Linked DNA regions of Caenorhabditis elegans. The protein of the gene in region 2 purifies or fractionates together with the protein of the main gene of each other region. This does not show direct contact. Each region holds a gene or a part of one and is shown on either strand. Other genes may lie near its edges.

The links.
Region 1: the proteins of cpr-9 (region 2) and lys-4 fractionate together in Caenorhabditis elegans (co-fractionation; one large-scale study listed by BioGRID). This does not show direct contact.

Annotation. Positions count from the first base shown.
Region 1 is NC_003282.8:11,620,605-11,624,820, forward strand, and holds lys-4 (LYSozyme), read right to left. Parts: upstream 2,571-4,216; 5' UTR 2,495-2,570; coding exon 2,293-2,494; intron 1,702-2,292; exon of another isoform or gene 1,681-1,701; intron 1,335-1,680; coding exon 892-1,334; 3' UTR 825-891; downstream 1-824. Other genes in the region: dsl-5 (Delta-like protein), read right to left, coding at 1-237, 284-334; lys-5 (Lysozyme-like protein 5), read right to left, coding at 3,692-4,134.
Region 2 is NC_003283.11:12,001,256-12,005,322, forward strand, and holds cpr-9 (Peptidase C1A papain C-terminal domain-containing protein), read left to right. Parts: upstream 1-1,797; 5' UTR 1,798-1,918; coding exon 1,919-1,921; intron 1,922-1,977; coding exon 1,978-2,223; intron 2,224-2,319; coding exon 2,320-3,126; 3' UTR 3,127-3,329; downstream 3,330-4,067. Other genes in the region: gcy-33 (guanylate cyclase), read right to left, coding at 450-521; F57F5.3 (ABC transmembrane type-1 domain-containing protein), read right to left, coding at 3,377-3,657, 3,709-3,964.

The DNA.
Region 1 (4,216 bases), on a different chromosome or scaffold from region 2:
ATTTTTAAAATATGAATTAAACTTGCCATCTTCCTCTGATTTTCCACATTTTATGGTTATATTGTAGATATTATCAAAGTTCACAGGAATCCTTGTAACGTTAAATGGTACATTAGATTTAAGTTTTAAATGCACTATTTTTGATTTCTCTGTTCGAAAATTTGATGAGATGTTCACAATTGCGGTTTGTATATGAGGACTTTGAATATGTAATTCTAGATATCCAGAACAAATTATCTGTAAAAATAAAATCTTAAAATTACAGTGGTTCAAAAAATCTCACCGATTCAATAATAAAAGTTATAAATAAGAAAGAAATCGCAAGAAGTTGCATGTTGAAATGTTGATAATGAGATGGAGAAACAAAAAAACAAGACTAAATATTTGTACTCGTCAACTTTAATTTTGATTCGATTGAGGTCAATTGTGTAATTCAAGGTTACCCCAAGTGACGTCATCACTACGCATTTTGACTTGACAACGTGTCTAGAAGATCAACAACATAATAGTTTTGAAAGAAAAGAGAACAAAAATTTAAGTTTTACCGTATCTGCTTTTTGAAATGTAAAGCCATTTTGATGTTACTATTTTGGCCGAAACTCACTTGAAACTCACAGGTCTAGATTTAAAAAAATAGAAAACAATTCTGAATGAGAATATAATTAAAGTCTCCGAACAATAATGATAAATTTTTTAAATAAGTAACAAAAAATTATTGAAAATAAAACATAATTTTCGAATGTTCTAAAACTGACCCATTTGTTGTCAGTTTTACAGTTTTAAATTGTTTCAAAAAATCAAGAAATCAATTGCGCGTCTGAAACTAGCGAAAATGTATGGGTTTACATATAAAAATTTGTTTATTCATGTTTATACATTTTGGTCAGCTATTTATGGAACATAGTTCATATCAACAGAGACTCCACATGGGCCAGTAGTGGTTCCTTCCCATTGATGAATTGTTGGTCTGCTCCATCCTCCGAAAGGTGCGAACTTTGAGAAATCCTTAATTCCATCATAGGTTGCCCACCAGAGCATCAAACTAGATTGTCCATGATAATCCAATCCAACAATATCTTGCCAATTGTAATAGTTACTGTAGATTCCAACTTGTTGCTTGTAAGCTTGAGCTTCTCTGACCATTGCCTCGATGAATGCACGGTTACTGGCGTGATTAGCTGGCCAAGCGAGACGTTCAATGTCAAGCCAGAGAGTAGAGACATGAGTTCCTGCACTCTTCAAAGCATCAAGAGTTTCCTTAACTTGATTGGCAGCAGATGGGCAGTTAGATCTCAAGCATGGGAAGATGTATCCATCGACATCGGTGAGGCCAGCTGCAAAATTTGTAATTAGCTTGGTACTGAATGAAACTTGTAGAAAACTTCAGATGTTTTAATAAATTGGAATATTATCAGTTTGAATGTTCGAACCCGTACAATGCTTATAATTGACTTGGAATACTATAAAGCTCATCCTTATGATCTGATTATTCCAACTTAAAGTGATCATAAGGGCCCCCTTACGGTCTCAATATTCAGCTCAAAAGGATCATATGATTAGTTATGGTTGAAAAAATTTTCACCTAAAACTTTTCTTTTGGAAGTTTTTCCAAAATGTTTAATTTTTTAGAAAAGCATAATTGTGGTAGTCCCTACAAGTTTGAACATTCATATTACATTTTCAGTCGAACCATCACCTAAATTGGAATTTTCTGCTATTCTGGACAATAATACTTAGAAAGAAACTGTAATTTTTTTTTTCATTTTTTAGTTTCAAGAGGTAATATATTGTTTCACTCACTAGATGCATTGTATGTATACTTGTAAAACATATTAAAGAGCAAGATTAGTTTAAATTTTGAATTCTATATTCAACCTATTGACAAATATATTTGAATATTATTATTTTTCCATACTCTGTTTACAATCATGTGACAATGCATGCCCTGGTAAACTAGACAGTCAGAGGGGACAATGAATGGTTGTAAAACGTAACGAAAAGATATTTCATTGACCACTACATCTTGACTTTTGGGAATATGTGTATTTGAATTATTTGATGGCAGTTTTTAAACAAACAAAAAGAAATAAGAAAAAGAGATAAGATTTTGTTAGTTTAAGTATTTTCTTACAAATTTAATACTCATAACTTATACTAGGAAGTATGCACAGACCTATAAGTTAGAAGTGTGAGGCGAAGAATCGCGAGGGAAAGGAGAACCAAATTGCCAAGAATGGAAATTATTTTGAAAATGGTAAAAACCATTCCTTGATACCCATCTGAAATGCTCACCTGCTCTAGCATTCTTGACGTTTTGAATTCCAGTATGATCAAGAGTTCCAACAGAAGTAAAGACTCTTGGAATTACGAAAGAATATCCAGCCTTATGAATACATTGAAATGTAGCAGTAGACACTGGTTGAATGAAATCAATTCCATTTCTAGCTGCACTTGCAGCACCGATCAAAAGCAAAGCCGAGACGAAGAACTTCATGATTCTCTGAACTCCCCTGATTAAGCCTTCACACACTTCTTTTATACTTCCCAAATACCGGAGATTCTAATTTTATGACTTTGACGCAAGCGGAAAGATAAAATCAAAAACTTCATAAACCCTCTTCTCTTATCTTTTTTGTTTTATTCAGAGGCTGATGTAAAATATGAAACAAAATATGGAGAGCAACTACACTTTCGTCTCATTTTCGAAAATATTTCTCGGGGTTTCTCGACCGTTATCTCTCGTCGTTTTTCAATATTTGCAACAATGAGATCAAAAGAACTAAAATTGAAACCTTCGACCCTCCCGAGTACTGTATTATTTCTACAAGCTAATGGTCCCGGCAGCAGGCTTGTGCGTGGTTTGTTGGCGTTGCCTAAATTAACACTAAAGAAATTATCAATTTTTCAATCCAAACATTGTGAAATTCATTGTTTATCTGTAAATTTTTTGAAGTTTATACAGTTTATTGAAAATAACTTAATTAATCTGTTTGGAAGCGTGAAAAGCTGAGAAAACATAAGGTGCTTAAAGTTAGATGCTTGAAAACGTGATTATGTTCTTGATTTGTTCCCTGCTTCAGATCACAGGTCGGCTGTGACCTAGAAAGCTTTTGAGCTCATGACTTATTCTCTTTGACGGTACATCTTCCTAAAAAATACCGGGAATTGTATTAAAAGTCATTAGCCGATTTTCAGATGATTTCAAATATACCGAGTTTTCTGAAAACCCAACTCCCCAATGTGTTTTATTTTTCGATTAGCAATTTGAACTTCGCACATTAGACTACATTATCAACCTTTTTGCTTCGTCTATCATTATTTGATTGCACGTGATTTCTGCTACCGACGATGGCATCAAAATGTGATCAATTGACGAAATACTCCACAAAAATTGATAATAACGTACATGCCTCATTTGCGTACTGTATCATTCCTTAAGGAATTCCTCAATAATTATTGCAGAAATTATTATAAAAGTTGGAATAGACTTTCTAGTAGTTTCAAAATAAAAATTAGTCATCGAAAACTGAATTTCCTTATTAAATTTCAAGTAATTTTCGATGCTTTTCAGATTACTTTGAATTGCTCGGAGCAATTCTCAAACGTTATTAAAGGAATGAATAAATCATAATAATGAACGAATGTTGTTTACTGAAATATACACTTTATTATTAAAGCGCTAAAAAATTATTTATGGAATGTAGTTCATATCAACAGAGACTCCACACGGACCAGTAGTGGTGTCAGACCACTGATGAATTGTTGGCTTCGACCATCCTCCGAATGGAGCGTACTTTGAGAAATCCTTGACTCCATCGTATGCAGGCCACCAAAGCATCAAACTAGATTGTCCATGATAATCCAATCCAACAATATCTTGCCAATTGTAATAGTTACTGTAGATTCCAACTTGTTGTCCATAAGCCTTTGCTTCACTGACCATTGCTTCAATGAATGCACGGTTGCTAGCATGATCAGCTGGCCAATTGAGACGTTCAATATCAAGCCATAGAGTGGAGATCTTAGTTCCAGCAGCCTTAACTGCATCAAGAGACGCCTTAACTTGGTTAGCAGCAGATGCGCAAGTCGATTTTAGGCAAGGGAAGATGTATCCATCGACATCAGTGAGGCCAGCTGCAACAGTGTTTTAAAAATCAAACAACTTCTAGCTACACTGGGAGTCTACAGTAACCATTAAGCCTCTTTGAAAATTTAA
Region 2 (4,067 bases):
AAACGAAAAGTATGTTATTTAAAATTATGATTTTTTAGTTTTGAAGTTTCTTTGATTTAGGCATAATTGTTTTTTAAAATTGTTGCTTCGAAAGACTGGCTAGCCAGCTGTCTCAAAAGTTTGGAAGTTTTATAACAATTTTTTCTGATATTTTTGGTCTTATGAACATGTAAAGATAAATTTTCTTTAAAAGATAATTTTTACGTCGAATTAGAAAAAAAATCGAGAAAAAATCGCAATGTTCTAGAAGTCTTTTCCGGTTAATGACGTCATAAAGTTTAAAGCTTAATATTTGAATGGGCGCCTTTTTTATATTGGCTGCATAGCTACTCACCTACACATCAATATATAATTGATACGGAGTCATTAAAAAGTTAAATGTTTTCAACTTTCATTTGGAATTTGAAAGATCATTCAAGTTGGTATTTAAAAATTAGAAAAAGTCAAACCTGCAGAAGAACTTGGGGTCCCCAGTTTTCCTGTATCATAAACCGAACACCTTCAATGACCAATCCGTACATTTTGCGGGTTGATTTCTGCTAGAAGATGTTTGAAAATGCTGACTAAAATCTGAATAAGGTGTTTCCACTACCAACATCTTCCAACTTCCGTGCCAGTTTCCGTTAGCTGTACACTGTTGCCCCCTATTTTAATAATCTCATCTTCGATTCGTAATATCCATTAGCTCACCTCTCCCCCTTTCCCTTGAAATACAAATGTCTGCGTCTCTCCCCGCTCGTTGCTCTTTAGGTCTCCCACCTTTTCCTCTATGTAAGGCAATGGTCAAGAGACCGCACAACACAGTGGTTCATGTGTGTATCCCTTACCCCTCCACAGAGACACAGCATAGACGGAGAGAGTCTAGGAGACCGAGGAGAGCAGTATACTTGTCAAGGCTAATTCTCATGCGTTAGGGCCGTGCCCCATTGGCGCAGTCGGTTAGCGCGTGGTACTTATAGTCTATAGGTTATGCCAAGGTCGCCAGTTCGAGCCTGGCATGGGGCAGATTATTTTTGTTTTATTTGAGGTGTCTAAAGTAGTTTAAACGACATTTGTAGCCCCTATTTCGTGTTTTGTAGTGAAATGTAGTCTGTTTGATTTGTGGGAGTTGGAATCGATCTTCTACGAACCTGTGATAAGAATAGTGATAACCTAAACATTGACGTACATGCATCTTTATGATAAACATGTCATATGACAAGTTAAGCAGGTCAAAGTTAATAGCTCGATGTATTCTAGTTAGTATAACAGCTAACACACCAGAGCCAAACTAGCAAAATCTGTTTGAATGTTTGTTTTTAAATTAAATATCAAACATTAATTAAAACAAAATTGATAGACTGGTATGTACTTTAATCCAGATCGTCAATGCCATGCAATCTCGCATTATGGTCGCGTGTGACGTCACATTATCTTAAAACACGGATGTTTTTTTCGGGAACCGAAAAAACGAGCTGATAATTGTAAGGAAACTATTTTCAGTTTAAAATTGTACTGCTGGAAAGTTGATATGACCAGGATAGTACGAAAATACACCTATTAAAATGTTCGAAGAATTATTGGAACAGTCTATTACTAGGGATTATATTTAAAGGCATAACACTATGAGAGCACAAAATATAATATTCTTTAATCACCTCTACAACTCGTTAACCCTGCAAATTTTCGCTTTCAAAGTCCAAGTTTAAGCAAATAATTTGAATTCTCCCGCAAACATGCACGTGTCTAATCAGGCCTTTCACTTCGAAATGAAACCGGAGCTAGTAGCGAAATGCCTAATTCTTATCAGCAATATTCGAGAAAACGCCAAACTTCAAAAGTTATCAGTCGCTTGAAACGAAAAAACTATAAAACCCCTGGTAAGCGCTTGATAAATTGGTCGACTGTCGAATTTCCCAATTCTCCAGCCAATCGAAAAATGGTAAGGCTTAATTTTCCTGAAGTTTAACTTCAGTTTCAAAAACTTTTCAATTTCAGAAAACTGCAATTGCTGCTCTTCTTGTCGGCCTTGTCGCCGTCAACGCCTACAATGTTGAGGTTAAGCACGGAGATGCCATTCCAGTTGAAGCTCAAATGCTTCGTGGACAGGAACTTGTTGATTACGTCAACAAGGTTCAGACTTCCTTCAAGGCTGAGCTCGGATCATACTTCAGCTCTTACCCAGATACCATTAAGAAGCAATTGATGGGAGCTAAGATGGTCGAGATCCCAGAAGAGTACAGAGTTAGTAAATTTGAATATTTTAAAGATTTTGAAAAACGCTTCCCAAAAAATACAGATTTCTTTCAAACTAATTTATCCTAATGAAATTGTTTCCAGGTTTTCGAGATGACTCATCCAGAAGTCGAGGATGCTGCTGTTCCAGACTCATTCGATTCCCGTACCGCATGGCCAAACTGCCCATCCATCTCCAAGATCCGTGATCAATCATCCTGTGGATCGTGCTGGGCTGTCTCTGCTGCTGAAACTATTTCTGATCGTATTTGCATTGCGTCAAATGCCAAAACTATCCTTTCCATCTCTGCTGACGATATCAATGCTTGCTGTGGAATGGTCTGTGGAAATGGATGCAATGGTGGATATCCAATTGAAGCCTGGCGTCACTATGTTAAGAAGGGATACGTTACCGGAGGATCTTATCAAGATAAGACTGGATGCAAGCCATACCCATATCCACCATGTGAACATCACGTCAATGGAACTCATTACAAGCCATGCCCATCCAACATGTACCCAACTGACAAATGCGAACGCTCTTGCCAAGCTGGATATGCTCTCACCTACCAACAAGATCTTCACTTCGGACAATCTGCATACGCCGTCTCAAAGAAGGCTGCTGAAATCCAAAAGGAAATCATGACTCATGGTCCAGTTGAGGTTGCATTCACTGTCTACGAAGATTTTGAGCATTACTCCGGAGGAGTCTACGTTCATACCGCTGGAGCCAGTCTTGGAGGACATGCCGTAAAGATGCTCGGATGGGGAGTTGATAATGGAACACCATATTGGCTCTGTGCCAACTCATGGAATGAGGATTGGGGAGAGAACGGATATTTCCGTATCATTCGTGGAGTTAACGAGTGCGGAATTGAGGGAGGAGTCGTCGGAGGAATTCCAAAATTGTAAATCTCGAAACATTGTGTTTGTGATTGCAACTTCAATGCCTATTGTACAATATGTATTCGATTTATAAATATTTGAATTATTCTTATATTTTCTGTTAACATTTGCATACAAACTTGAATTACATATTTTTTTGTCAAGATTAATTCGAATTCTGTTTCTTTTGTTCCAAAATTCAAATTGTTTGAAAAGGGTTATTATAATATAATGCACAGAACTTGTACTCCCAAAAAATTGTATGAAAAATATATGTTCATTGAACAGATAGTAAACGAACAAAACAAAACAAAGTAATGACATAAAAAATAAAAAGGGATAATGAAAATACAGAATATGCAATAAGTAGATACTGCATCATAAGAACAAAATCAGTTGGAAGACTTGTTAAATCAGATACTCCCAATGGCCAATGATTTGTTGATAACATTAAAATCTTTGACATTCGATTATGAGTTTCTGATTTTATCATATCAATATCATTTCCAAAAAGACTTCGATCCATTACTTGACTTATTTCCACTGATTCTATTGCTGCTGAAATAATGTGATTTTTTTAAATTTTAAACTTTTCAAACTAAAACTCACTTTTCATAAAAACTGAATATTTTGGGAATATAAAATTTGGCACAATAATGACAAGCAGCAGAATGGCAACACATTTAGACAATGCCTTTGATGGATTGAGAATAGCTGTCAGACATATAAAACCGACGATCAGAGCAAATATGGGAAATATGACATGAGCGAGCATTTCAATTTTGACGCCATTCATTTGTATGTAATTCCAAAGAAGTACGTTTTTGGAAACATCAGTCACCAGGAGAATACCGGCTAAAAAAATCTGAAAAAATACACTTTTTAGGTATTAATTTATATATTTTTTGTTTTTAAAGGATTAAAGGACGATCCGTTCTTCAAGTGCTATGAACTCTGGGATACAGGTA